Oryza sativa Japonica Group: one gene and its partners. The protein of the gene in region 1 binds, or shares a complex with, the protein of each later gene. Links are inferred from orthologs where the notes say so. Each region holds a gene or a part of one and is shown on either strand. Other genes may lie near its edges.

The links.
Region 2: mediator of RNA polymerase II transcription subunit 4 (region 1) and mediator of RNA polymerase II transcription subunit 27 share a complex: the UniProt entries of both Arabidopsis thaliana proteins name them as parts of the mediator complex. The link is inferred for Oryza sativa Japonica Group from reciprocal best matches to the Arabidopsis thaliana genes AT5G02850 and AT3G09180.
Region 3: mediator of RNA polymerase II transcription subunit 4 (region 1) and mediator of RNA polymerase II transcription subunit 16 share a complex: the UniProt entries of both Arabidopsis thaliana proteins name them as parts of the mediator complex. The link is inferred for Oryza sativa Japonica Group from reciprocal best matches to the Arabidopsis thaliana genes AT5G02850 and SFR6.
Region 4: mediator of RNA polymerase II transcription subunit 4 (region 1) and mediator of RNA polymerase II transcription subunit 32 share a complex: the UniProt entries of both Arabidopsis thaliana proteins name them as parts of the mediator complex. The link is inferred for Oryza sativa Japonica Group from reciprocal best matches to the Arabidopsis thaliana genes AT5G02850 and MED32.
Region 5: mediator of RNA polymerase II transcription subunit 4 (region 1) and mediator of RNA polymerase II transcription subunit 33A share a complex: the UniProt entries of both Arabidopsis thaliana proteins name them as parts of the mediator complex. The link is inferred for Oryza sativa Japonica Group from reciprocal best matches to the Arabidopsis thaliana genes AT5G02850 and RFR1.
Region 6: mediator of RNA polymerase II transcription subunit 4 (region 1) and mediator of RNA polymerase II transcription subunit 13 share a complex: the UniProt entries of both Arabidopsis thaliana proteins name them as parts of the mediator complex. The link is inferred for Oryza sativa Japonica Group from reciprocal best matches to the Arabidopsis thaliana genes AT5G02850 and GCT.
Region 7: mediator of RNA polymerase II transcription subunit 4 (region 1) and mediator of RNA polymerase II transcription subunit 8 share a complex: the UniProt entries of both Arabidopsis thaliana proteins name them as parts of the mediator complex. The link is inferred for Oryza sativa Japonica Group from reciprocal best matches to the Arabidopsis thaliana genes AT5G02850 and MED8.

What each region holds. Positions count from the first base shown.
Region 1 is NC_089043.1:25,716,283-25,719,680, forward strand, and holds mediator of RNA polymerase II transcription subunit 4, read right to left. Parts: upstream 2,142-3,398; 5' UTR 2,067-2,141; coding exon 822-2,066; 3' UTR 501-821; downstream 1-500. Other genes in the region: histone-binding protein MSI1 homolog, read left to right, coding at 2,319-2,942. UniProt on the Arabidopsis thaliana protein: Component of the Mediator complex, a coactivator involved in the regulated transcription of nearly all RNA polymerase II-dependent genes.
Region 2 is NC_089035.1:8,936,521-8,940,751, reverse strand, and holds the start of mediator of RNA polymerase II transcription subunit 27, read right to left. Parts: upstream 2,801-4,231; 5' UTR 2,776-2,800; coding exon 2,447-2,775; intron 674-2,446; coding exon 512-673; intron 1-511. Other genes in the region: pentatricopeptide repeat-containing protein At5g57250, mitochondrial, read left to right, coding at 2,993-4,231. UniProt on the Arabidopsis thaliana protein: Component of the Mediator complex, a coactivator involved in the regulated transcription of nearly all RNA polymerase II-dependent genes.
Region 3 is NC_089044.1:19,707,083-19,711,285, reverse strand, and holds the start of mediator of RNA polymerase II transcription subunit 16, read right to left. Parts: upstream 2,801-4,203; 5' UTR 2,543-2,800; coding exon 2,118-2,542; intron 1,432-2,117; coding exon 1,363-1,431; intron 1,181-1,362; coding exon 1,092-1,180; intron 922-1,091; coding exon 809-921; intron 625-808; coding exon 523-624; intron 72-522; coding exon 1-71. UniProt on the Arabidopsis thaliana protein: Component of the Mediator complex, a coactivator involved in the regulated transcription of nearly all RNA polymerase II-dependent genes.
Region 4 is NC_089044.1:22,150,995-22,153,489, forward strand, and holds mediator of RNA polymerase II transcription subunit 32, read left to right. Parts: upstream 1-1,269; 5' UTR 1,270-1,359; coding exon 1,360-1,842; 3' UTR 1,843-1,995; downstream 1,996-2,495. Other genes in the region: U-box domain-containing protein 70-like, read right to left, coding at 118-280. UniProt on the Arabidopsis thaliana protein: Component of the Mediator complex, a coactivator involved in the regulated transcription of nearly all RNA polymerase II-dependent genes.
Region 5 is NC_089041.1:6,111,050-6,115,348, reverse strand, and holds the start of mediator of RNA polymerase II transcription subunit 33A, read right to left. Parts: upstream 2,801-4,299; 5' UTR 2,678-2,800; coding exon 2,403-2,677; intron 1,748-2,402; coding exon 1,637-1,747; intron 1,101-1,636; coding exon 756-1,100; intron 6-755; coding exon 1-5. UniProt on the Arabidopsis thaliana protein: Component of the Mediator complex, a coactivator involved in the regulated transcription of nearly all RNA polymerase II-dependent genes.
Region 6 is NC_089039.1:22,060,902-22,064,401, forward strand, and holds part of mediator of RNA polymerase II transcription subunit 13, read right to left. Parts: intron 3,407-3,500; coding exon 3,175-3,406; intron 2,281-3,174; coding exon 2,074-2,280; intron 915-2,073; coding exon 1-914. UniProt on the Arabidopsis thaliana protein: Component of the Mediator complex, a coactivator involved in the regulated transcription of nearly all RNA polymerase II-dependent genes.
Region 7 is NC_089037.1:18,123,815-18,127,873, reverse strand, and holds the start of mediator of RNA polymerase II transcription subunit 8, read right to left. Parts: upstream 2,801-4,059; 5' UTR 2,629-2,800; coding exon 2,405-2,628; intron 2,282-2,404; coding exon 2,157-2,281; intron 1,380-2,156; coding exon 1,255-1,379; intron 1,150-1,254; coding exon 966-1,149; intron 831-965; coding exon 723-830; intron 510-722; coding exon 442-509; intron 122-441; coding exon 1-121. UniProt on the Arabidopsis thaliana protein: Component of the Mediator complex, a coactivator involved in the regulated transcription of nearly all RNA polymerase II-dependent genes.

The DNA of each region.
Region 1 (3,398 bases):
TTGAATTGGGAAAAAAAAGTACATAAAGATGCGATATGCACCAATAAAATTATAAAAGGAGTTACTTCTGATGATGCTTTGGCAGTTCTAACCCATTTGAGTCAATTACTACTTTATCATCTGCAAGATAAGCTCGTGAATGAAAACTAAGACCTATAGTACTAGTATCATGTTTGTAGTAGGAAGATCCCCCATGCTGTGCAATAAGATAGGAAAAATGGTGTGTTCATTTAAGTGCAAACTTACAAGTTGAAACCACTCCCTTCTCATAACTTATATAGCTTGAGTTATAGAACATTCTTGAGTTTTCAGCTACCACTCTTTGGTACAATGGTATAAAGGTTTTCAAACTATATTGCAGCAATAAGAGGTACAGACATAAGGTAAAACAATGAGAAAAATTAAGCAGAGTGCATGAACATGGAAGTCATTACTTGATTGAAAAGCCCATAACCAGCTAGCAAGCCTAGCAAGCAATTATGACTGAAACCTGTAATCTGTGAAGAAGGGCATCAAACATTAAACACACCATGTTCAAGTTTAAATATCCATAAAAGAAGCCATGTTTCTGACGATACAACACCAGCACATCCTGAGGAAATTAGACCATCATGCTTGATTACATATATCGAAGCAAATTGACTAGTGAGATGGTTTAATTAATCAACACATACATGATACGCCACCCAATTCTATTCAATACCAGTATATTGCTGCATGATCTTGAATAATCATGTATGAGAGCTTGCATTATTTGTTCTTACTAGTACATGACCTACAACGGCATGGAAACATGAATCATAAAATAGCTTACCAAGGAACTAATCCTCATCATCTTCTTCAGAGCTCCCGACGTCGCTACTGTACTCATCACTGCTAGAACTATTGTTAATGTCAAGATCAACATGCCGAACCTGTATCGGTTCTTGTGCCTTCGGCACCATTGCTGGCACCACAACCGGCATCTGTTGCACACTGGCCCGTGGCTCCTCACCCTTGACACCAGCCAGAATGCCATCCGGCGGTAGAGTGATCGGGTCCCCGGGTTTCCATCCAGGCGGCGGCAACGGGATTTCGAGAGGCAGCGCCCCGTTCCGCCACCCATGCGGATGCGGCACAGTGATTGGTAGCACAGCTGCCTCCTGGGTTGGTGAAGGCTGAAAAAGCGGAGTGGCATCTCCCTCTGCTGCAGTCCTCTCCTTTGCTTCCTGGGATTTCGGCACTCCAACATCCAAATCCGCAAATTGATACAGCTGCGACATCCTCATCTCATTTTCCTGAGGAGCAGGCGGCAACGCCCCACGCAGAGGCAGCCCAGCACCATGCTCAGGCGGCGCGAAGGTCGTGTAGCTTATGCGGTGGGCGTACGTCAGGACGTCGTCCAGGTTGAGCTTGGAGTGCAGCGACGCGCCAAAGTCGCCGTCTGACACCGGCTCGGGGTCGTCCGCCGCCGCGGCGCCGCGCGGGCGCTTGGGGTCGCGGCGGTAGTCGGCGTAGTCGTCGACGAGGCGGTCGAGCACGTGGTGCGCCTCGCGGAGCTTCTTGGCGAAGGCGAGGATCGAGGCGTCCTTGGCGCGCGCCTCGCGGGCGAGGCGCGCGCGCGCGTCCTGCAGGTCGAGGGTCTCCTGCAGCTCGGCGACGGCCTCGAAGAGCTGGGTCTGGAGCGTGTTGAGCAGCGACAGCGCCTCCTTGGTGGAGGAGATCGGGGCCGGGAGCGGCGGCGGCGGCGCGGAGGACGGCGAGGGGAGGAAAGTGGGGAGTGACCCCCGGTACGCCGAGATCCACGCGGCGCGGCTCGGCGAGAGCTCGAAGAGGTTGGAGGCGAGCGCGGAGATCAGCTGGAGGAGCGCCTGCGCCCGCGGGAGCGGCGGCAGGAGCGGCAGCAGCGACGGCGATGTAGTTAGGGTTGGTGCAGCGGCAGCGGCAGCGCCCACGGCCGCCGCCGCGCTAGGGTTGCCCTGCGGCGGCGAGGAGGTGGGATTCCCCGCAGCCGGGTTGGGCGGGAGCGACGGCGACGAGGCCGTCAGCCCCAGCCGCGCCGGCGAGGGGTGGTGCGACTGCATCATCGCGGCGGCGGCGGCGGCGACTGCGGATGCAGGAGACGGACGCGAGGCAGAAGCTACTAGACAAAATTTCCTCTTAATGGGCTAATGGGCCTCCAAATTGTATTATATGGGCTTTACGGCCCATAAAAGCCCATTAACTCGGCCATAAAACACCATCTCTTCTGACTCCGCCGCATCGTCTCCCCAATCTTTTTGGCGGGAGAGCACCACAGCGCCGCCTCCACTTCCCGCGCAATTCGCAAGAGAAGAGCCATGGACGGCGGGTCCTCCACGGCGGCGAGGTCGTCGGCGGCGGAGATGGAGGAGCACCAGAACTGGAAGAAGAACGCGCCGGTGCTCTACGACCTCGTCATCTCCCAGCCGCTCGAGTGGCCGTCGCTCACCGTCCAGTGGCTCCCCTCCCACTCCCGGTCGCCGGGCTCCGCCCGCTCCCACCGCCTCGTCCTCGGCACCCACACCTCCGACGAGACGCCCAACCACCTCCTACTCGCCGACGCCGCCCTCCCGCTCCCGCCCCGCCTGGCGGCGGCGGCCGCGGCGGCGGGCGGTGCCGTCCCGGCCCCGTCCGTGTCCATCTCCCGCTCGGTGCCGCACAAGGGCGAGGTCAACCGCGCCCGCTGCATGCCGCAGAGGCCGTACACGGTGGCTACCAAGACCTGCGTGGATGAGGTGCACGTGTACCATCTTGGCGACGGCGGCGAGAAGGGCGGCGCCGATGTGGTGCTCAGGGGGCATGAAGCGGAGGGGTATGGGCTGGCGTGGAGTCCGATGAAGGAGGGGTTGCTGCTGAGCGGCTCGTATGATAAGAAGATTTGCCTTTGGGATCTCGCTGCTGGGAGTGGAGCTTCGTCTCTGGATGCACATCATGTGTTCGAGGTAATGCGCCGTCAAATGCCCCCCTCCCCTCATTCCATTTTGCAGTAAACATTTACAGTCGTTAAATGTTACATTATACGATGCAGTTGAGCAATGATTCGTAATTCATAATCCAATTCATTTAGTAAGGATGCTTCGATTGTTTCTTCCCCTTTTTTTTTTCAGTAAACAAATTTTGATCTGCCAGATCTCTTAGTAAACAATATTGAAATAATGAAATTGAACTGTTTCTGGTCTTTCCTAAATGTTGGAAGAGAATCATTATAACTGAAATAACTGCACAATTCCAGAGTAGATAATTGCACTGCGTAGGAGAAAGGACACAGCAATTGAATAACTAGTCGAGAAGAGAACATGGTTCCATTTCCATAGCTGCATTTTAAGCACAAACAATCATCTCTTGGTGTGAGGAACAATTCTATTATGCATAAACAGATCACTGAGTTTTTTTTATGT
Region 2 (4,231 bases), on another chromosome or scaffold:
GGGATGATCCGAAGGCTTGAAGCCTTCAACATAAGTACATACATCTAAAGAAGCACATGAATGAAGGGCGTTGGAATATTTCCGATGCATTCTGTGTAAAATCAAAATAAAATATGGATGCAACGAAAACAAGAACTGATCTAATACTTCAATTCCTACAAAAGCACTCCACACCTTGGAAGAATGTAATTATCATAGTAGAAGGATTAGAGAAAGCAAAGTGCAAAAGAAGAAACAAAAGAGGGAAAAAGGAGAAATAAGGGAAAAAGGGGAAAGAGGGAAACAACAGTACAAATTTAAAGGGGAAAGAGGGAAACAACAGTACAAATTTATCGGCCAAGAAAATTATCGTATATCGCAGGAAGAAATAACATGGTATAAATATTTAATCTGCATTCTGCAATGCACGGTTGATGAAATCTCACACATCAACAGAATATAAATAAGACAAATAAGCACATCATATTGTGGCAGCAAACATACAACACAACAATGATGGTAATGAAATTACCTAGTTCTGTCAACAGCTGATGCACCAGCCTGACCAGCCAGCTGACGCTTCCAAGCATATGCCACAACTGCACCATCTGGACAAACAAGTGGCATGTGCAAGCCCCATGAATTGCCTCTGGCTTTAAGGGCTCCATTTAGAACTCCAGACTCTTCCAATTGCCTTCCTAACAGCAATGGATACAAGATATTTATTAGGCTACAGTTTAAAAACTAGATCTTTACTTTCAGTTGGCTAGGCCAACACTTATGAAGAAATAGTGGAACTTGAAACTTGAAGTTCAATAAAAATAATTGGAACTTACCAGGAGAACTGTGTAAGCAATGATTGATGGTTCATCACAAAGTAAAAACATCATGAATAGCAACAAGCACAACTAACCCAAACACTATAACAAGAATACTGTGAAAGAACAATAAGAAAGCACCAGCAAAATCGAGTGAATCCATCCTGTTCACATACCTAACTTTATTGAAGATGGCTCCTAATATCCTTTGACTTAAAAAAATCTCAGTCACATGGCTTAAGCTTATCTAGTACTCCTAACTTCAGGATTTTCACAAACTAACTATTCTGTCTAAAATCATAACTATATCACCTGCAAATTTCATCTTCCGTTTATCTAGCAACTTCAGGTTGCAGAAAGACTCAAAAACCATCGTTTAACAAGCAGTTCATATTGCTTGGACATTTTATTCATCAGACAGAATAGTACCATGTTGCCATGAAACATGGATTTTCCAAATGCCTGCAGACTTCTTCAACAAACGACTGGTCAAGTGGTCACATGTAAACAATTGTACCCAACACATAACTGCTCTGCTGAGACAATATTATAGAGTGAGCACCTACCCTACATCCTTACCATCCACGAGTGATACTAAAACTAGTTCGAGCCCTGAGTGGCACTAAGGTGGTGTTTGGATCCAGGGACTAAATTTTAGTCCCTGTCACATCGCATGTTTGGATACTAATTAGAAGTATTTAACGTAGACTAATAATAAAATTAATTGCATAAATGAGAGCTAATTCGCGAGACAATTTTTTTAAACCTAATTAATCCATAATTAGCACATGTGTACTGTAGCATCACATAGGCTAATCATGGATTAATTAGGCTCAATAGATTTGTCTCGCGAATTAATTCAAGGTTATGAAATGGATTTTTTCATTAATCTACGTTTAATACTTCTAATTAGTGTTAAACATCTGATGTGACCGGGACTAAAATTTTAGTCCCTGATCCAAACAGCCCCAAAACAAGTTCAAGCTGAAGCTGTTCAATTAAGGTTAAATATTGCTCTATTACAAGCCAAGGAACACGAGTTCCAGAAATGCATCCCAATCTGATAGACCCAGGCACCCAGCCAATATTCTAGAATGCTAAAGTTCATATACCAAAGTTGAGCAGTTAAGCCTGTCCGTGCATCTCTCGTAGCAAGGTTTCATAGGTAGAAGGGTTTCACAAGATACAAGCAATTGGATAACACCAAAGAAGAGTGTGGCATCAGTTTATGGTGATTAACCATTATTACAGAACAATTTAGTGGAAAAAAAATGTGCTGCCATGCCTAAACTGGGAAGGAGATTATTACTTTAAAAAAAGTCCAATCATACAATCCAAAGAAGTTAAATCAATATCCCAGCCACCAATTTCCAGAAATTATCTAGACAAGGGTTTTCCTTTTTCTTCTTGAGACTGCAACCGTGGTATCATGACGGGAATATTTCTTTTTCATTTTGAGACTGCAACCGTGGTATCATGACGGGAATGTTCCTTTTTCATTTTGAGACTGCAACCGTGGAATCATGACGGGAATGGTTCTTCTCGGAGGGAATTAGTTGTATTTTGCGACGTAACAGTCAAAGGTTAAGGAATCGATGAAAAACTTCTGAATCGGAGAGTGTGGGGGCACGGGGCGGAGATGGGTTTACCTCCCGAGCGCGCGGAGGTCGTCGAAGTGGCGGTGCATGGCGGCCTCCTCCTGGGCGACGGCGAGCGCGGTCTTCTCAACGTGCTGCGGGGCGCTGTGCGGGGGCGCGTCGCCGGCGACGAAGAGCGCCTCGAGCAGACGGTCCGCGCCCAGCCGGATGTCCGCGATGAGCCGCCCCGCCCGCCCCAGCCGCTCCATCGCCTGCGCCACCTGCTTCGGCGGCGCGTCACCCCTCGCCCCCTCGTGCTGGTGCCCCGTCGCCCCCGCCGCCGCCGCCGCCGCCGCCGCCACCGGCGCGGCCACCACCGCCGACGCCTGCGCTTGCTGCATCTTCCTCTTCTCCCCTTCTCGCTTCCGACTCGAAACGCCTCACCTAAATAAGCCCATATCCAAACAGGCCCAGAACCAATACAAGCCCATATCTATTCAGGCCCAGATCCAAACAAGCTCGTATCCAAATTCGGCCCACGCCATCGGCTTCCAACGTTTCGAACGTTTGCGCTTCGCTTCCCACGCGGCGGCGGCGCCACCACCACCACCCTCCGCCATGCCGCTCGCCGGCGGCGAGCCCCGACCACCACCGCCGCTCCCGTCGCTGGTCAAGCTCGGAAGGGCCGTCACGCCGCGCCGCGTGGACATCCTACTGGCGGCGCTCCTCCGCCGGCGGAGGCACCGCCTCGTCGGCGCGCTCGCCTCGCAGGCGGTCGCCAACTCCGTGCGCCCCACCGCGCGCACCCACCTCCTGGTCGCCTCGGCGCTTCTAGATTCTTCCCGTCCGCGCGACGCGGCAGCGCGCCTCGCGCTCGCCGGCCCGGCAACCTCCTCCGCGCGCCGCCTCTGGGACGCGCTGCTCCGCCGGGCCTGCGCGGTGCGCGGCGATGCTCGCCGCGCGCTGGAGGTGCTCTCCGCCGGCGTAGAGGAGTGCGGGCTCGTGTTTTCTCCGTCCACGTATCGTGTGGCCCTGACGATGCTGTGTGCCCGCGGTGACATGGAGACCGCGCTCAAGGTGTTCGACGTAATGGCTGCAGCGGGGTGTCAGGTGGATGATCGTGTTTGCAGCGTGATCATTTCAGGCTTCTCCAAGGTCGGGAAGGCTGGGGATGGGCTGGAATTCTATAGGAGGGTGAGGAGAGAGTTCAATGGATTTGAGCCAGGCTTGATCACATTAACCGCTTTTGTCGATGTGCTTGGCCGTGTAGGGAGAACTACTGAGGCAGCACAATTGGTAAGGGAGATGGAAGGGAAGGGGTTGGTTGGTGATGCTGTTTTATATGGCAGCTTGGTTCATGGATACATGAGTAGCGGGTTATTGATGAAAGGGCTCCGTGAGCATCGGGTGATGTTAGATAAGGGCATTGCAGCTGATGTAGTTAGTTATACTACTGTTATTGATGGACTTTGCAGAGAACGTAGTGTGGAAAAAGTGATGGGATTCTTGGATGAGATGAACCGAAGGGATGCTAAGCCGAATTTGATCACTTATACATCATTGATTGGTGGTTTCTGCAAGAGAAACAGGTTGGATGATGCTTTTTCTATAGTGAGGAAACTGGAACAGACAGGAGTGGTGGTGGATGAATATGTTTACTCAATTTTGATTGACAATTTGTGCAAAAAGGGATATTTGGATAGGGCTTTCTCTTTGCTTGAAGAGATGGATAAAAAGGGGATAAAGATTGGAATCGTAACATACAATTCAGTAATAAATGGTCTATGTAAGGTTGGTCACACCAAGAAGGCTGTTGAAATATATGAAGGTATTGCTGCTGATAACTTCACATATAGC
Region 3 (4,203 bases), on another chromosome or scaffold:
TGGGTAAGGAACTTTTCCTCAAAGGTTTTCAAGTTTGATGAAGTACTAGAGTTTGCAGGAAGCCATCTATACTGCAAAGTCAAAGAAACAAAACAAATTTAGCCGTGGCAACAGCTTAGTAATTATATTCCTTCGATTCTAAGATCCACTTATTTCAGGCCAAAAGGGTAATCAAACACAGGTAGTGTCATTTGAAATAGATCAAAGTACTTACTCAGACATAAACTGAGCCAGAATCTTTTTTACCTAATTGTTGCAATTGTTTATGATAAATGTCCAGTGAAAAAATCTTAGAACAGTTTAAACTCAAGTCTATTGTCACTGCTTTATAAAATATTATATTTTAAAAAAATAATGATTAACAATTGACACTGAAAAGTATATAAATCTCGAATGTTAAATTGTGAAGCGGACTGTATAAACTGCTGGGTCAATCGTATTGCATATTTGCATTCCAAGTGTAAAGTGCTAATTATCAAAAACAAGAGAAGCAGACTGTAAGTTTGCAAATTGGCAACAAACCGGAGAAATTCCTGACAACCACTTAGTCACCACCGAAAGATCTTGACGCCATTCGTGTTCACATTGCCAGGAACTGGCATCACGTACAAGATTAGTAGGACCCTTCACCATATCAAGAAAGAAACAAGTATTAGAGAAAAAACACAAAACAGCATGATATGTATATAGACTTGAAATGAAAAAAGAAAATCCTGAGTGTTTCGCAAATTAACAAAGTAAGTTCAATGGTACTACTAACAAAAAAAAATGATATGCATACCGAAATTTGCTTAAGGTAGAGATGTACCTTAGTTGGCTGTGTCCATATAGTAATCCTTCCATGAAAATTTGCCACCAGTAATGCACGAGGGCATGATCGAGGAGACCATTCAATGAATTGAACAAAGTCGCGTGGAGAATCTGTTCAAAATTACAGTGAGTTAGGATTGGAGGTAGAAAAACTCGTATATAAACAAAAGTGAGTTTGAATCTCACCCTTCACCTGACTATAAAATGCCCAATGGACAGTGATTTGCACATGCATAACGTAATCACATTACCAAAACAATTGAGATTTAGCCATGGATTACCTGCTTTCACATTGAAAACAGAACATTCTGTTGGTCTCTCTGGATTTAGAATGTGTATGGGAATCCAAAATGGTGGGCTTGAATTAGAGCTGAAAATATACATTAGATCGTTTTACGGCAAAGAAACCTTCATAACCAGAAACTGTAAGCAAACAATTCTACCAAATGGTTGAATATCCCACTAAGACAAGCTAACAGAACAAACTTATTTATGGATAACTAAAGGTCAGAGGAAAGTAAATTTTCAGGGAAAGGATGGAAAAATGTATACCTTGGTATGCGTGCACAAGTCTCTGATGCGCATGCAATTGCATTGAGCTTCCCGCACCAAGCAACTGCACTGCAATAAAAAAAAAACCATAGATAAGATAGTTACTAGTTGTTCCCGATATAGTGTAGGCTAAAGCAGACAAGGCAACCTCATCCTACAAGATCAAAGCAGTTTTAAACAAAAAAAAATAATGTGGATTTTAAAAATGGAGTTATCACGTTCGGTATTTTCTAACTGGTGAACAAAGTAACCAGTTTGACCTGACTAAACTTAGTTATGTGAAATAATGACACTACATGTTATAACTGTATTTGATCTAGTATAGTAGAAGCCTGCACAGGATACAATCATTCAAAGCAATCACAATTCCATGCCCACGCTAATGCTTCTGCAAGTTTGAGTCACTAGATTGTTCATCCCAATCATTGAAACGCCACCCAAATTTGAAGAGGAAAAAAAAAGTAAACCCAGATCGTTTGATTTAGATTATTGAGTGGATTATTGTCATGGATATATTATAGGGATAAATTAGATATTTTGAGAGACAAACTTAACAAATAGCTTAAAACAAGTGGTCTAAGCAATACAGTAGAGGAAAATTTCTTTCGGGGGGAAAAAAACCATTTCAATAAATCGATGAATAAGCTGAAACAGATCAGGGTTTAAATTCATCACACCTAAGCTTCCCCCAACATATTTAAATCCCAGAAAGAAAAAACACCCCCAAAAAAACCACAACTAATCTCGAAACGCACCTGAAGTTCCTGCAGAGCTCGGGCACGCGCATCTTGTGGCGGAGGCTCGAGGGCGGCTGCTTGAGCCGGATCCGGAACACGGTCGCCGGCGACGCCTGCTGCCCACCTCCACCTCCACCTCCTCCTCCCCCCGCACCACCACCACCCCCACCCCCCTCCACATCCCCAACCCCCCCACCACCACCTCCCGCGCCACCATCCACCTCCATGGCCTCGCCTCCCCCTACGCCCACCTCCTCCACTCCACCCCCATCCCCCACTCCTCCTCCACCCCCCTGGCCCTCCTGCTGCTGATCCTTGGGCGGCGGCGTCGGCGAGGAGACGGGCACGGCTCCGGCGGCGGCGGCGGCGGCGTTGGCGGTGGGGGGAGAGGGGGTGGGGGTGGGGACGAGGGGGCTAGGGTTTGGGGCGGAGGAAGAGGTCATAAGGGGCGGAGGAGACAAAAAGGCGAAGGGGAGGGAAGCGCGCGCGAGGGGGGGAGGGGGAGGCTTAGGTCACTGGAAGCGACCGCCCGTTGCTGTCGCGGGGGGAGGGTTTCCTCCCCTCCTCGCTTTGCTGCTGCCTCCTGCGTGTGCGCTGCGGCGGCGTCGCTTTCAGGTTGGGTGGGGAATGGGATGCGGCCGTGGAAAGGGGAGACGACGACGACGAACGACGATGACGATGACGACGACGGGGAGAGAGTCAGAGGGAGGGGGGGAGGGGAAACGAGTGGGTTTGGTCTTTTGGTGGCGTTTCGGGAGTGGTGAGCTCTGGGTATGTACGAATTCCGTTGAATTTTGGATCGAAATTGCTAGAAAACTTTTGCAAGTTCCGTGGAGTTTAGTTCCAAACTTTTTTAAAAAAATTTTTAACTTTCCATCGCATCAAAACTTTCCTACACATACAAACTTCTAACTTTTCTGTCACATCGTTTCAATTTCAACCAAACTTCTAATTTTAGCGTGAACTAAACACACCCTTTTTCTCTCAAAACTTTCAGATTTATGGTCATCGGGTTACTGGAGATTTGTACATTCAAGAGATAACATTGCTACAAAAATATCATACATGTTATGTGCAAGATCTCGGTGCTAGTCAGCCAAACCACGGTTAAATACATGTTTTATATAAGTTATACCGTAGTTACAATACAGTTACAGTACAACTATACTTCAATTATAATATAATTTAATCTCGAAGTTTTACACTTAAAAAATCTACGGCAGTTTTTTACACACTCCAATATTACTCTTGTATAGTACCTAGATGTACTAACTTGTAACGAAATAAAGAGTGTTGTCTGTCTATTTAAAATTGGATACACGAATTTCATTGAAATTGGCATGGAGGCGGGTAATCTTGGTGTTGTGGTCTTGCGGTGGATTGTAACTTGTAAGAAAATGGGGATAGTCGTCTATTTATTTGAAACTGGGTACATAAATTTCGTTAAATTTGGCACCAAGGCAGATAAAATGAGTGAATGTATGCCTTTTTGGGAATTTGAATGAATCTTTCGTCAGATTTATAGTTTGACAATTTCAGTTAAAATTTATCTCCCTCGGTTACAAATTTCATCAATTGTTTATGTATCGAATCTTTAATTAAATTGTATTATTCCATCATTTTACTTTAAATGATATCTCTCTAGGCCACAACTTTCATTACATCATTGTCTCGATTTTTATGTACATATAGAAATTGTAGTGTGCTAGCACATATATGTACATAAAAATTGAGATTATGAACTTGGAGCTAGAAACTTGAAACTTAACCCTTTCAGATTATCATCAGCCGACTAATCACAAGCGTCTTATAAGAATCTTTATAAGAATCTCTAGCTCTCTATTTAGGTTATTATCATTGTTGTCGTGATCGTCGATAGCCCATCCTAACTACGCATGTTTTCTTTGTTTATACAATATAAATATGTTTTTTTTCCAATAGATGCAGCAGAGTCATGACCTATGAAATTGATGATACGGCACGGTAAGATTTTATTCGCAACAAATAAGTCGATAAAACAACAAGCCCATCTTAAAAATAAATCCAAAGAAACCCAACCCAAAAGAAGGGAAGGTCAGGCGATGGGCCCAAACACGAGCCAAAC
Region 4 (2,495 bases), on another chromosome or scaffold:
AAAGCCAGAAGCTAAAGATTATGGTACAAACATCATAAGATAGCTATATGACTATATCACCTCCTTTATTGACATCGAGAAAAATAACTTTAGATAAAGCCACTGCACATAACTAACCAAAGTTCGATGTAGTAATTATGTGGATGATGATGATCTCCGTGCTACTGGATGCATGATCGATAACCCAAGACAGTATGGACTTGCCATCGGTGGGTTGCTCAGGGAGAGCAACATAAACCTTGTCTCTAAACAGAGTTTTCTGCCTGAGCATCATACTCATGCATGCAACTGGTAAGGCCTTGAAGATGGAACTAAGAGATACTTCTATCTACCAGTTTGCGTTTCCCACTTTGGACAACTAAAAGAGGGAACACACTGCGTATTAGCATTAAAGAATAAGATTCCAGTTTAACCAGGTAAAAAGGTTGACTCTTGACTGAGACTATCGGAAGACAACGCAACACTCAACTACCAAGTCGCAGTGAATGGATTATCTGAGGAAAGTCATTTGGTACGCTGTCATGCCATGCCAGTACAACACGGCAAAATTTGCTGGGAACAGGGACATGTTATGAATTAATGTAAGACTCTACCTTTCTCACATCCTTCACCCCCATTGCTCACCACAAATTCCCTGCCTTTCATTTCTAATAAAAAAAAGATGTAGTGCATCGATTGTGTGCCAGTGATAGAGCCATCAGTCTATCTGGTGATCTAATCTAAAGATCTCGGCCTCATATTTCAGTTACTCCATATGAACGGGAGAAACAACCTACGGGTAGTGACGATTCAGCAATAATAGCATATGAAATTTGAGGCGAACAAAATTGACAACAAGCAAACATCTCATCATCACCAGTACTGCATATGAAATTAAATCATCGTGGTACAGTCAAATCACCTTTGACGATTGACTAGAAATGGCGAACACCGAATAAATACATCGCGGCGGCGGCGGAATCGCGCAGGGAGACGGCAACATCGGCGCGCGGCGAGGCGGGAGTTGGGGGAAGCCGTCGCCGGCTCACAGGATCCCACCGGGGTCGCCCGCCTCGCCGTCGGCGAGGGGGAAGCCACCGCCGCTCCGGCGAGCGGCGAGGCCCATATTTATCCCTCGAGAAAAACCCTCGCCTCGCGTCCCAGCCCAAGTTTTAACGTGCGGCCCAGTAAGAAGATACAGCACGAGACGGCCCATTTTAAAGTGGGCCGCGAATCTGCGGCCCACGAGGAATTTTTTTTTTTTTGACGCTACTGGTTTGGGAGTTTGACACTGTGACGAGTAGAGGTCAAGTTGGTGGGGAATCTAGGCGGCGGAGGCGGTGGAGCGTGTCGGGGAGAAGCCGCCGGCGGCGAGGGGAGATGGAGGCGACGGTGGACGAGCTGAGCGAGGCGTACCAGGAGTTCGTGGCGGCGGCGGCGGCGGTGGTGGAGGCGCGGGGGCAGTCGGGGGGAGAGAAGAACGCGGCCACGGACGCGGCGCTCGAGGCGTTCAAGCAGCGGTGGGAGCTCTTCCGCGTCGCCTGCGACCACGCGGAGGAGCTCGTCGAGTCGATCCGCCAGCGAATCGGTTCCGAGTGCCTCGTCGACGAGGCCACCGGCGCCTCCTCCTCCTCCTCCGCGGCGCTGGCCGCCCCCGGCATCAAGCCCATCAGCGCCGTCCGCCTCGAGCAGATGAGCAAGGCCGTCCGCTGGCTCGTCATCGAGCTCCAGCACGGCGCCGGAGGTGCCTCCGCCGCGGGTCCCGGCGGCGGGGGCGGCGCCGCGGCTGCGGCTTCCGGCGTTGCGGGGCAGCACGGCCACGGCGGGGTCGACACGCGCTTCCCCGAGGACGGCGCCCAGTAGGTATTTATTTTGCTCAATTATCTTGTACTAGTAGTATTTTCTTCCAAAGAAAACAAATTACTGGTGGTATCTCTGTGTAATCGTCTAAGAATTGAAGCATTAGAGCTTGTGATCGATATTCTAAAAAAAATTGAGCTTGTGATTTTCTCAGCATTGTTACTTTATGCCTACTGATGTTAAAATTTGGGAGAAATTAACCGTTTTCTTAGTGTCGTGGCCAGATCACGCTTAGTAACTGATTTAATTTTGTCCTATTGCTTTTGTTAAGTGACTAATTGTGTAACGGACTTCCTTCCAGTAGGTTTTAGTTCTGATTTGTAGCTCGCTCACATAATGTTCGTGCATCGTACTAAGGTAAGGTAGTAAACCTGAGGTCCCAGGAAAAAATGAACAATTTCATATATACTACTCAACTAGCATATAACTGTATAAGTTCCTTCAACTTTCAAGTACCTACTCTGGATGTTTTGCTAATCTTGCGTCCGCCACAATGTGAATGCTTTTCCTTCTGATTTTTTAATGAACAACATTTTATTGAAGAATAACTAAGCAGCCACAAAAGGCACAATTTGTGATAATAAACTCTGGGAGATTGCTCATGGTTTGTGAAACCCAGTTATACTGGAAAGTGATATTGGTTATTAGCTACTAGT
Region 5 (4,299 bases), on another chromosome or scaffold:
ATTGCCTGAATCATCAAGACTCGTTAGTACTGGTGGTAATAATAACAAATTAAAGTAGCATACTTTTTCAAAAAAATAAAAAATAAAAACAGTAAGTGAATTCAGTTGTGGTGTCTTAAGGATGCCCTTGATCCCCACTTTGGAAGTTTAAACGAATGCCTTCTACCAATGTACTGTTATCCCAATAGTTCATTTGTGTACGATTCTAGTACAGTTATGAACACAAACAGCAATATCAGACAATATTGGCATGAGTATATCAGAGCTTGTCCCCCATGGCCAGAGTTTCTATGATTCTATCAGTGATCCTTCTTGGTTATAAAGTAGTAGAGAAAATCATTTGAACATTACAGTTGCAACCAATCAAGCTTGCTTGTTCATACAACCAGTAGTCCTTCTAGAGTACTATTAGTTCACATTTTAGCATTGCGGTCGACAGTTGTTTTATAAAAGTGTACAGCCATTCCATAAATACAATGAATCTGATATATTCCAGAAAAATATTGGCAATACCCTGTATACTCAGAAGACACAGAAGCTTGACTTGAGAACCTTAAGCCAATAGAGAGAATGTTTTCAATTATATGGTGCATATGGAACACAGAGATATTTAAGCCATACATTAACTCACTAAAATAAAATTAAGTTGCTATCAATTGATATAATAACAAAGGGATAAATTCACTGTTTTTAGTGATAGGAAGAAAGAGCTGGAATAACTCAGTAAAGCAGTACATGAAGTTGAAAAGCCATACATGTTTTCGCGTGCCAATGAGAGGATATGAGTAATTACTTTGTCATGAAGAAGATGCCCAATGAGCTCTATAGTTATCACATTATTCATCTTCTGTAACTTGTCAATTTTGTCTATTCTTTGTTCAGAGAAAGTTCCATCAAATGCACTCACATCATCTGATCTAGTTGGCCAATGAGCTTTCTTATCCGGTATCAACTCTAACAGGCCTTCGTCATCTAATGCAGCATCAACCAACTGCCATAACATGCAAAGGGTAAATTCAACAACAAAAACCCCTGGTTCGCATGTTGAAAAGCCAAATATCTTTGAGAGACCAAGGTTATCATCTATTAATTGCATGATCCTGCGGAAATATGAGAAGGTGTCATGAAACTTTGCATTTAGAAGACAACTAAAGGAATGATAAGTTGCAGACAGAATGACAGATACCTACACAAGGCATAAACATAGGATGCTAACAGAACAGACATGTCACAAGAAACAAACTCTTTAAAAACTAACATGAAAGAACTATATGCGAGTTGAAAACATATAAAGTGACACCTTAACCAATTCAACCGAAAATATTATGTATCACTGCAGAACTGGCCCTTTCAACCAGGTGAAATTCTTCCTTTGCAAATTGTTGCTCTTTGGAACAGATCTTGATATGTCCAGTATGCAGATGCAATAAGGTGGTCTAGATGTATTGTGGTAGACACCCAAAACTCTAATTGTCAGCATATCGTATTAAAATTCCCGTCTTATATAATTCTTTTGAACAGTACTGAATCGTTCAGAATGATGTACATGTTCCTGTGATGTATATTTCGAAACCTCTGAACATAGAATGCGTGCATTATGAAACTACTGGGAACACCTCATAGAAGGAAACCTCACTTTTTGAAATTCGCCGCTTTCATCTGAAAAGCAAAATTGAATCCATGTCTCCGCAAGAGCTCCAGATAAAGTCTATATGCAGTTGGCCTTGTGAACCGGTGAGGAATGACCCTGAATGGAGAGAAACCATCAACGGAATATTTGCAATCAGTCTTATATTCTATTTTATAGAACATTCCACAGCAGCATAGCAGATATTGAAAATGTGCACGGATTTCGCCAGTTGGTTATACGATTACTGCTGAAAAGCACATTTCAAACTGCACTTGTTATTCCAACTAGCATGATCTAGACTCTAGAGAGAAGAAAAAAAGTGAAAAAAATGAAACAGAGTATTCTGCTGCTATACATGTATTAAATTGATCTGCATTACACTGCACACTCGAGTACTCTACATACACTGCCATTCATATACTTCTCAAATTTATGGGTATTACGCACAGTAAGCACGCCACCATCCCTTTTCCTTCTCAAATTTACAGGGCCCAAAACATCAGATTGTTTATGATCATGTACAGGCCACGCTGTAGAACAACTTGCATTTGTGGTAATCTGGTTGCGAGGGAAATCTCATAGATCGAAACTAGTAGCCTGATCCGATCGCGATTGCGCGGATTCCATCAGACAGTACACCCCACGTGAGCAGGAGCCCATGTCAGATACCACGCACGCAAATTCGTCTCTCCCCGCGCGCGCGCACAAACGCCACTGCGCGCGCGTGGGGGGAGGGCAATGGATGGGAGCGGGGGCGCCGCGCCGTCCGTACCTGGTGGAGAGGATCGCGAGGAGCAGCGCCGGCGACGCGAGGCCCGCGGCGAGCGCTGCCTCGGCGTACTTCCACGCCGCGCCGCCACCGCCATACAGCAGCGCGCGGGCGAGCATCTCGGCGAGCCCGGGCGACCACGGCGCGTCCCCGGCGGCGGCGACGACGGAGGCCACCCGCGCGGCCCACTCCGCGGGCGGGCGCGACTCCGCCTGGGCCGCCTTGGTGTACTCCGCGGCCCAGTCCACCCACGCCGCCGCCGCCGAGGGCGCCGCCATGCTGGACTACTCGCCGCCGCGTGCCGTGGCCAGCCTTCCTCGCCGTCGCCGTCGTCGTCGCCGCAGGCGTCGCGGGGGTGGGGAGTGGAGTGGGAGGGACGAAGCGTGGGATGTTTGTTTGGTGGGAAGGAGGAAGAGAGAGAGAGAGAGAGAGAGATGGTGGTGGTGGTGCGCGTTGGTGTAACCACTTCGCCCACTGCATCACCACCAGGCACCAACACGAGGTGGTCCCAGCCCGCCGGATCCTCTGCTCCGCCTCACCCACCTCATCTATCTTGTGTGCGTGTAGGCGTGTAGCCATACCTATTCTAATTCAAGGAATAAGAGGAGCCTACGCGTCGGGCGACCGATGGGTTTGGAGAAAAATCGGACGCTGACATCAGTATGACGCATGCGTGCAAAACTACTTTAAACTAATTTTTCTCTTAAATTATTTATCCAAATCATGATTTCACCATTAAATTCGTTGCAATTAAATCTTCAAAACAAGATCACACACATAGATATATTCCGATGAAAAAAAATTTAGCTTATTATTGAATTATTTTAAAATGTTGCACGATATTCTACCAAGTATATCGGAATTTTTTCACTAAGAGATCGAAAATGTTTCAATAGTTTAAGTCGGGCGTTGTTTCACCTTATATAAAAATAATGTTTCAGCAAATAGTGAAAGAATGTTTCAGTTCACTGCGACATTAGATCTATACACAGTGGAATATTGTGGGTATAAAAGGTAAAACATTCTTCGTGGAAAAAAATGAAATGTATTCCCTTAATAGAGTGTTTCCAAAATATATAGGTGATTTGTTGCAATGGAGTATGTGATAGAGATAAGTGGCAGGTGGGGGTAGAGACGTGGTGGGGCCCAGGGCAGTGCGCGTCGTGGGAGGAGGGAGCGCCCGATTTTTCTCCCTCCCCTGAGCGACCGATTCCTAGCATTCCCCTAAGGAATATCAAAGTCGTGTTCTTTTAGGATGTGTTCGGTATCTCTGATTCCCAACCGGAACAGTACGCACAGAAAACAGAGCAGTCCATTAGCGCGTGATTAATTAAGTATTAGCTTTTTTTCAAAAATAGATTAATTTATTTTTTAAGTAACTTTTATATAGAAACTTTTTTTAAAAAATACACCGTTTAGAAGTTTGAAAAGCGTGCGCACGGAACACGAGGTAGAGGGGTTGGGAACTCTGAACAAAGAACACAGCAAGCTTTTCCAACTTATACCCTATCATTTTCCATGTGTATACTTTTAGCTAATACTTAATTAATCATGTGTAAATCTACCACTCCATTTAGCGTGTTCGATGAAAGGTTCCCAACCCAGATAAACGAATCAAGCCTAAGCAACCGTTGAGTAGCTACTAGCAGTACCTCATGAAAACATGTAAAATGTAGTTTTCCTGTACTTCTATTTAATTTCTTATTTATTTTCTATATTCTACAACTATATATTATTAAAATTTAACTATGAATTTAGATCAAGCTGCAGTTGATATAAACTCCTCTAGTCCTCTGAAGAGAACCTTTGTCAGATGCGGTCACAGTAAGTGATACTAGAGTAGGTTGTTTACTATTGATATATTCCGCATGTTTAGGATGAATTATTTAGCGGTTGCTAA
Region 6 (3,500 bases), on another chromosome or scaffold:
GATAGCCTAGCTGGTATATTTTCTTTCCTTTTTATGTCATATTTGGGGACAAGATCTAACTTGTTGCTGACATCTGTATGCACAAGACTGGATAATGCACTTTTTAGCTCAGCAGATGCTTTGCTACTCAAAGACAATAGTGTATGCCTTATTCTACACATGGCAGCCTGGAACTTGATACATTCCATTTCAGTTGCAAGAGCAGTCTTCATAGATAGTAGGAAGTATCCAGCATTAAACATGCTGTCACTCTTCCTTTGAGAAACCACAGAAGAATCAAGTGAAGTCTCACCAGAAATAGGTCTTGATGCTTCCTCCTTGCCTGATTGTATGTCAGTGTTTTTTAATCCTTTGTCACTTTCTTTTTTCCCAACTTGGACAACTGTGTATAAGTTTGATGAACCAATATCACGTGAAAGATTACCAGATGCTAGTCTAACAGACTTCTCAGGCTTGTCTTCTCCAGACTCCATTTGAGAACTTTGTGCAGCATCATATGAATAAACTCTTGAGTTAAAACTAGAACTCCCTGGTTTTATGGATCTGGGCTGGTAAGGATTTGTAAACAACGATGTTGGTGTCTCACCGGTGGAAATTTCAATAGCTGCATACTCGGGTGCATAAGTGAGCAATGCTTCAGCTCTGGTCAGATGACTAGATCTACCAGACGATAACACAACTGATTGGGAGCTTGTAGGCGACGCAATATCTTTCTGAGGCTCTTGAACCTTAGAAACAACATCATGAATAGGTGCTACAGTTTGGTGGTTAAATACCTCCAAAGATGAGAGACCAACTGGAGAAAATCTTTGTTCAGGTATATCCATAGCTGTCGACGGACTATCTGTGAATGTGGCATCCCCACAGTCAGGACCGGGGATCACCAGAGAATGTGATTCAGCAGTACCTGGAGGCTATATAAATTGTAGGTAGGTTAGAACATTGCAATTCTGAGCCACAATGGATGCAACAATCATGTTCTATTTCTGTTCAAGGAAAATGCAATTATTGTGCTCGAAATTGTTTAGATCTGCCGAGCAGAATTTCCTAATATTTTCTGTTCATGAATAGTTTGACAACTGTCTAAATTAGAAGGCAAACAACATGAGGTTGTGCAGTAGAAGAAAATTCCTCCACAGGCTTTAGGCGAAATCGCAAGCAACATGTTTCAAGGCATGTAAGCTGTGAGGAATTCTATAAATGGTCGTTCTTTGCAATTTATACACTTAAAAGGGCAGTAATGAAGCCACCTGTTATAATCTAGACTCTTAAAACAAGCAGTAGAGGCAGTTATAATCTAGACTCTTAAAACAAGCAGTAGTGGTTTTTTGAGTAAATTTCACAAAATCCCGGGTTTGGGAGCATGTGTAACGGAAAACCCCTTATATTGCGATTTGTTTCAAGGAACCCCATGTTTGGAGGCAAAATGTTTCAAGAAACACTACATTTAAACTTATATTGTCTATTTGGCTAATAGATTTATGCATAATAATTGCAAAAAATAGTATGTGATATTTTGTTAATTAAGTATATATGTATTATCCGCATTTTCAACATGTGTTAATTATCAAAAGTATAAACCATTTTGTGTTTATGTAACCGGTTAATCTGTCATCAACAGTGAGGACTGTGTTGAGTATGTGCAATCATTGAGTGCGAGAGTGATGAAGATAAATTAGACATGAGGAAGTGCATTTTGAGCCTACTTATATGTGAATATATATTAAAAATACCATATATAATCATGAAAATGAGTATTTTATATAAATCTGAGTTCCTCAAAACATTTTGCCCCAAAACATGGGTTCCTTGAAACAAATTATAATACTTCGTTATGCATGGTTTTGTGAAAATTGCCCATTTTTGTAAAAAAAAAAAAAAAAAAAGGTTACGCAGCAGCACAAAATGCAACAGTAGGAATTACAAAATATAATCTTAGTTAACAGAATTTGACTACTTCTATACTTGACAGAATATCTCAAAGTAGCATAGATTCACAGTATTATCATTAGTCCGAGTAAATCCTTGGTTGATTGGTAAACTACAGAAAGATCATGGGACATGACAGCATACCTCACCAAAGTCTAACTCCTCTTCTTGAAAGAAGTCACTAAAATCTCCAAACTCTGATATTAGTAAATTGATGTCCATCGCAACCCCCTCCTCATCCCAGCCCCAAGAACATCTACCTTGACCATTTACCCCTTGATTGTTATCCACGGATTCTTTACCAGCACGAGAAGAAACTTCTGGTATTTCAGAACGAGGCCGCTTGGATACCTGGTTTCACAGGTACAGAACATCAAGGTTACAGCAATGCCATTACGTTCATGTAACACGGGCACACGGCACAACAATAGCATGATCGTGTAATACCATTTTCATATTGTTGCACAAAAGTTAAGAATATAAAAGGTGCCAGATGCAGAAAATTCATTCACCAGAGTCTTCATCCACACTTGGCTTGCATGTGGGAAGAAAATATTTGATCTGATAGGTTTAGCATCAATGGGCAAATACATGGACATCCGTGTTTTAAGTGAACATAGGTCTGAGTGGATCGTATTTACTCACAAATTAGACACAAACACTTTTACACGTAAGAAGGTACATCTATAAGCTTCTATGAACTTCATAATGTGTCGTGTCATGTACAAAAGGTCTACTGGCATTTGGTTTATCTATTTCTATCCAGATTTTCATTTCATTTATCCACAATACCAAACCATTTGTTAATTATAGTGATACCATTTACAGGAAAGAAAAGAATATATTAAGTATGTCAGTCCTCTAATTAACATATTACATTAGATTAAAGCCTATTGGGAGATGGCACAAAAAAATGTTTGGGCATCACTAATAGCATACACCATTTCTGTAGACCATAAGAAGGATGTAGCAACACATGGTTGACATGTCTTATGCGTTTCCAAAATAAATATGTTATTTAAGCATACCCTATATTTGCATCTGTGCCTCATTAAAGATGAATCACCAATAAGATCGTAAGAAGGATGGAAGAGTATACATATTATTGTGTTAATAATAGCTTAACTAGTGATTAAAAAAGAAACAGTATTTTAATAGCAAAGTATAAAAAGGCTATAAGGCTATGTGTGAATTAAGGTTCACTTTTTGGGGGGAGGTAAATTAAGAAGGATTGTAACAAAGTACCATCTTGCTACCAGCAATGTTGGATGGCAGATCAGACTGATGGCATGCCATAGAGTCTGCATCAGCTGAAAGGTCACCACCTTCAGCAGCAACTGCATGTTCACTTCCATTGGAAGTGCTACTAACACTACTGATACTACTGGCCATGCTGCTGTAATTGCTGTTCTTCTGTCTCCTTAGTCTTAGAAAATTAGAGTTCACTCCAAGTCCACGAGATGATCCAAGGCAAGAGCTGATACCGAATCACAACACAAGATGGAAAAAAATCATGGACAAAACAAAATTAGCAATCAGGATATATTAAGAACATAAAGGATAGGCATTAA
Region 7 (4,059 bases), on another chromosome or scaffold:
TCCCTGACCTAGGGGAGTTTGCATATGGCATTGGAGGAGTAGATACATTTTCAAAATTAGGCGTTCCTGTAGCTCCAGGTGATGGAGCAGGTCTGCCAAGTAACTGTCCTCCAGACACCTGCTATTAGAATGAAGGCCCAAATTTGAACATCAAGATAGAAACATCAAAGGCCTGCATGAGGTCAGGTTGGTGATTGCTCTTATGAAATGCAATTGTCTTAATAATAGTTCAAGGGAAAGCATTCTAACCAACACTTAATACAGTTGATCATAGAAAGGAATACCAATATACCATTACAAATTATATGGCAAATTGATACACGGGAAACAAAACATCTGCCTTTTGTAACTTTTTTTGCTTTCAGCCCAACTAGCAATAATATGGACATATTCTATTAATTTCGTAATGGTCAAAGCTGTTATTACTGGCACTAGACAAACCTGCATTGGATTTCCCTGGGCGTTGACAACATTAGGTACAAATGTTGAGGTATTTTTGGGGTACACACCTGCAAGTATAGACTCTAGTTATATGCTTTTGTTGAAGCATTGTGTGACATACAGACTGCACAAATGGCAACACTAAGGGTAGCAGCAAGTTATTGATTATTTTTATATAAAAAAACATCTAGAGCAGATGAACAACTCATTGATGCTATAGTTCCAATGCTCAAAACAAGGAGTGAACCATGGAGAATTGTAGGTATGTCACAGAAACAGACCAGAATTATCACCAAAATTATGTGCCCCATCTCCAAAAGGAAGTACGTCCACTAAATGGCTAGGAAGAGATGAATACATCTGCCTTTGGTCTCCCGGTACACGCAATCCTGGATAATCAGACTAAATCATCATGGACTATAAACAATGAAATTGTTACATAAAAGGAGAAGCTTATGCTAAAATTAAATTCAAAGTAATTTTTAAACTGATAGCTATATTAATACACCATTAATGCTTATCACCTTCACCATAATTTACCGCTGCTCTAAGTAGGCCTTCCTGCTCCTGTATCTTTGCAGCCTGTGCCTTGTCCAATGTAGGACCAAGATTTGCCCCCTGACGGGCTCCTAGACCATAATTCTTGCGACTTTCAGCAATTACTTTCTCAGCTGTTTCACATGCACTTCCAATCATATCTATCCTAGTCTGAAAGGAATAGCAGCAAGTCCCATTAAAATTAACAGATAATGAAAAGATCACGCAGGTATAATAAGCTACATAGGTTTGCATTTTCCAGACAGAAATAATCACCTTTAACTTTTCAATTTGTCCAGAAACTGTTAGATTCGTTATTCCAGACAACAAGTTGTCCCTCTTTGTAGCTTCTTCAGCTTCCATCTCAGGTAACAGCTTTGACGACAGCATTACAGGCAGTACTGCAGTACTCACGAATATCAAACAGGACTAACGATGTGGTAAAACTAGAAGCAGATGAACATGGGAACACAAATTGCGATGCATCCCAACCATATACAGCAACCGTGACCAATTAGCATCTTGTTAGGTCATTTTTAGATTCCTATCACACTTATCCCAGAAATAGGAAAGTGTTGACAAAAATGGCTACCCATGCTACATTAGGAATATCTTTACCAATTTACCCTAGGATAAAATTCGTTTAACTAAAGCCAATTAGCCATATCAGCCTGAAGTTTAATCTCAATATTTAAACCAAAGGAATAACTATTGCTAGGAAGTGAGAAAGGTCAACAATTGGTTCTTCATGTGTAAAACAACTCGTAAAAGAAATGACATGTATATATATGAACTACTCATTACCAAATGCAGCATAACCATAATATCTCATATATCCTTGTTGCTCATAACAGAAATCACATAGTATATTTCTTGGTTCTCATAACAGGTGACCTGTCTTCTCATCTGGCTTTGGGCACCATTGAACATGAGAAGACTCTGTTTGGTAAGGTCATGGAATCAAAAGTGGTCTGCTTAGCTGGGTAGCGTGTAACAGCTGCCCAAGGCAATATTTTGTGAAGGTTTGAACTACGCAGAGCAATTCCATTCTACATTATGTTCATGTATTCTTCTTCCCACAAACTTTATGCTTGTGGATCTACCTAACTAGTGTGGTTATTACTGATATAGCGATCGATTGGTGACACAAGAGAAGAGAAGTGGAACAGCAAGCATACTGGCAGCGTTTTCGGCATTAACGTTTCGGGGGTAGACCACAAACACCTTGGACACCTTCTTGATGTCCTCCACGATATTGAAGAGCTCCATGCTCACCATCGAGAATTGCCCAAGCACATCCTGCCTGCCATACACGCACCACGGCACGAATCAGCATTGCATAAACCCTAGAAAGGGGAAGCTGAATCCTCTACAGAGTCCAGCGGGCGATCGGGGGATGGGGGAATGGAGGTGAGGCAAGTACTACCACTTGGGGGAGGCGTTGGGGTTGGCGCGGGCGATGGCGTCGAAGTCCTCGAGGATGCGGGAGATGGCCTTGTACAGGCCCACGGCGCGCGCCCGCATCCCCTCCAGGTTCAGCTGCTGCTGCACCCCGGCGCTGAGCCGCTCCGTCCGTGGCTGCTGGTCCCCTCCTACGGGCGCCGCCGGGTTCGGCGCCCCGGCGGCCGCCCCTAGCGCCGCCGCGTCCATCCGAGCTCGCCGGATCTGCTGCGTGGAGGAGCTCGCGGGAGTTGGGGGGCTTCACAGGAGGCGGAGATGGCTTCACGCCGGCGGCGGAGGCGGCGGAGATGGGCCGTCGGAGTTAGTAGGGCGGCGCCGGAGAATTTGAGTGTTGGAGAGAGGGAGACCGCGAGATGAGGACGGGAGGGGGAGGTGGTTTTTCCCCGTTTTCACGAAAACCGGTAAAATCGGCTCAAAGTTTGTTAAAGAAAAAAAGAAAAGGTTCGCTTTGAATATTTTTTTTCAATAAAAACTTACCAAAGAAAACCGAGCAATTTGTGTTGTCCTGTAAACCATGGGATACGAGCGAAATAGACAACAAGCCTTGTTTAGTATCCGGAATTACTTCATAGTAATAGGATACGTTCCATTTCATGTTATGTTGCTTTATATTGAGACGAATGAAGTAGATTAATTTATATATTTCACGAGGAAATTTTTTGATTTTTTAACCGTTAGATTCGCTCCAATATTCATGTAACTGGGGATGGGAAAAATGAATTTTCTTGGAAGAAACACTTCTGATGCTATGATAGCATGGTTTTTTAATGTAGTTACATATAGTTAATATAATTTTATTATAAGTAGTGAAGTCGTATAAGTTGTAATGGGAAGTACTAAATTTATGACAAACATTACATGATTAGAGTTCATTTTATGACATGTTCTATTTTTTGTCAATTAGCTCCAACATAAACTCATGTTTTGAGCAAACCCCAAACATCAATATTTTGGTCCCATGTTATCTCCTTCTACTATTGCATAGGCCAATTTCATACTACCCCTTATAAGGTTTTAATCCAACCCAGACATAGCGTTGTATGTACTACAAACAACAATAAATTATAGTAGAGTATTCTTGCTTGTGAACACTGAAATCATATCATTTAACTCCTTATATCTTAAATCTCAAGTTTTGTTGCTTTCCATAAAATTGAGGACAATGCTAACAGTAGGAGCTAAGATCATGGTACTATTTGTTACTTTTTTTAAGTAAAATATATGGCCGGTCTCTAAACTTGTGTTGTGCTGTTACTTAGGTTCATGAACTTGAAAATTACACGTTTAGGTCCGTGAACTTGGTTTAGGCTGTGTTTAGATCCAAAGTTTAGATCCAAACTTCAGTCCTTTTCCATCACATCAACTTGTTATACACACACAACTTTTCAGTCACATCATCTCCAATTTCAACCAAAATCCAAACTTTGCGCTGAACTAAACACAGCCTTAATGTATCACCTTGGTCCAAACGTCCTTTGGCTGTGTTTGACCGCCAACGTGGCATGCCACGTAGGCAACACTTTCGCTCTCAGCTCCCTCCGCGTCACAACACGTCGCATATATCTCCTTGTAGCTATATTGTGACACCAGAATCCCAAAAAAGAAATCCTCAAATCGCTT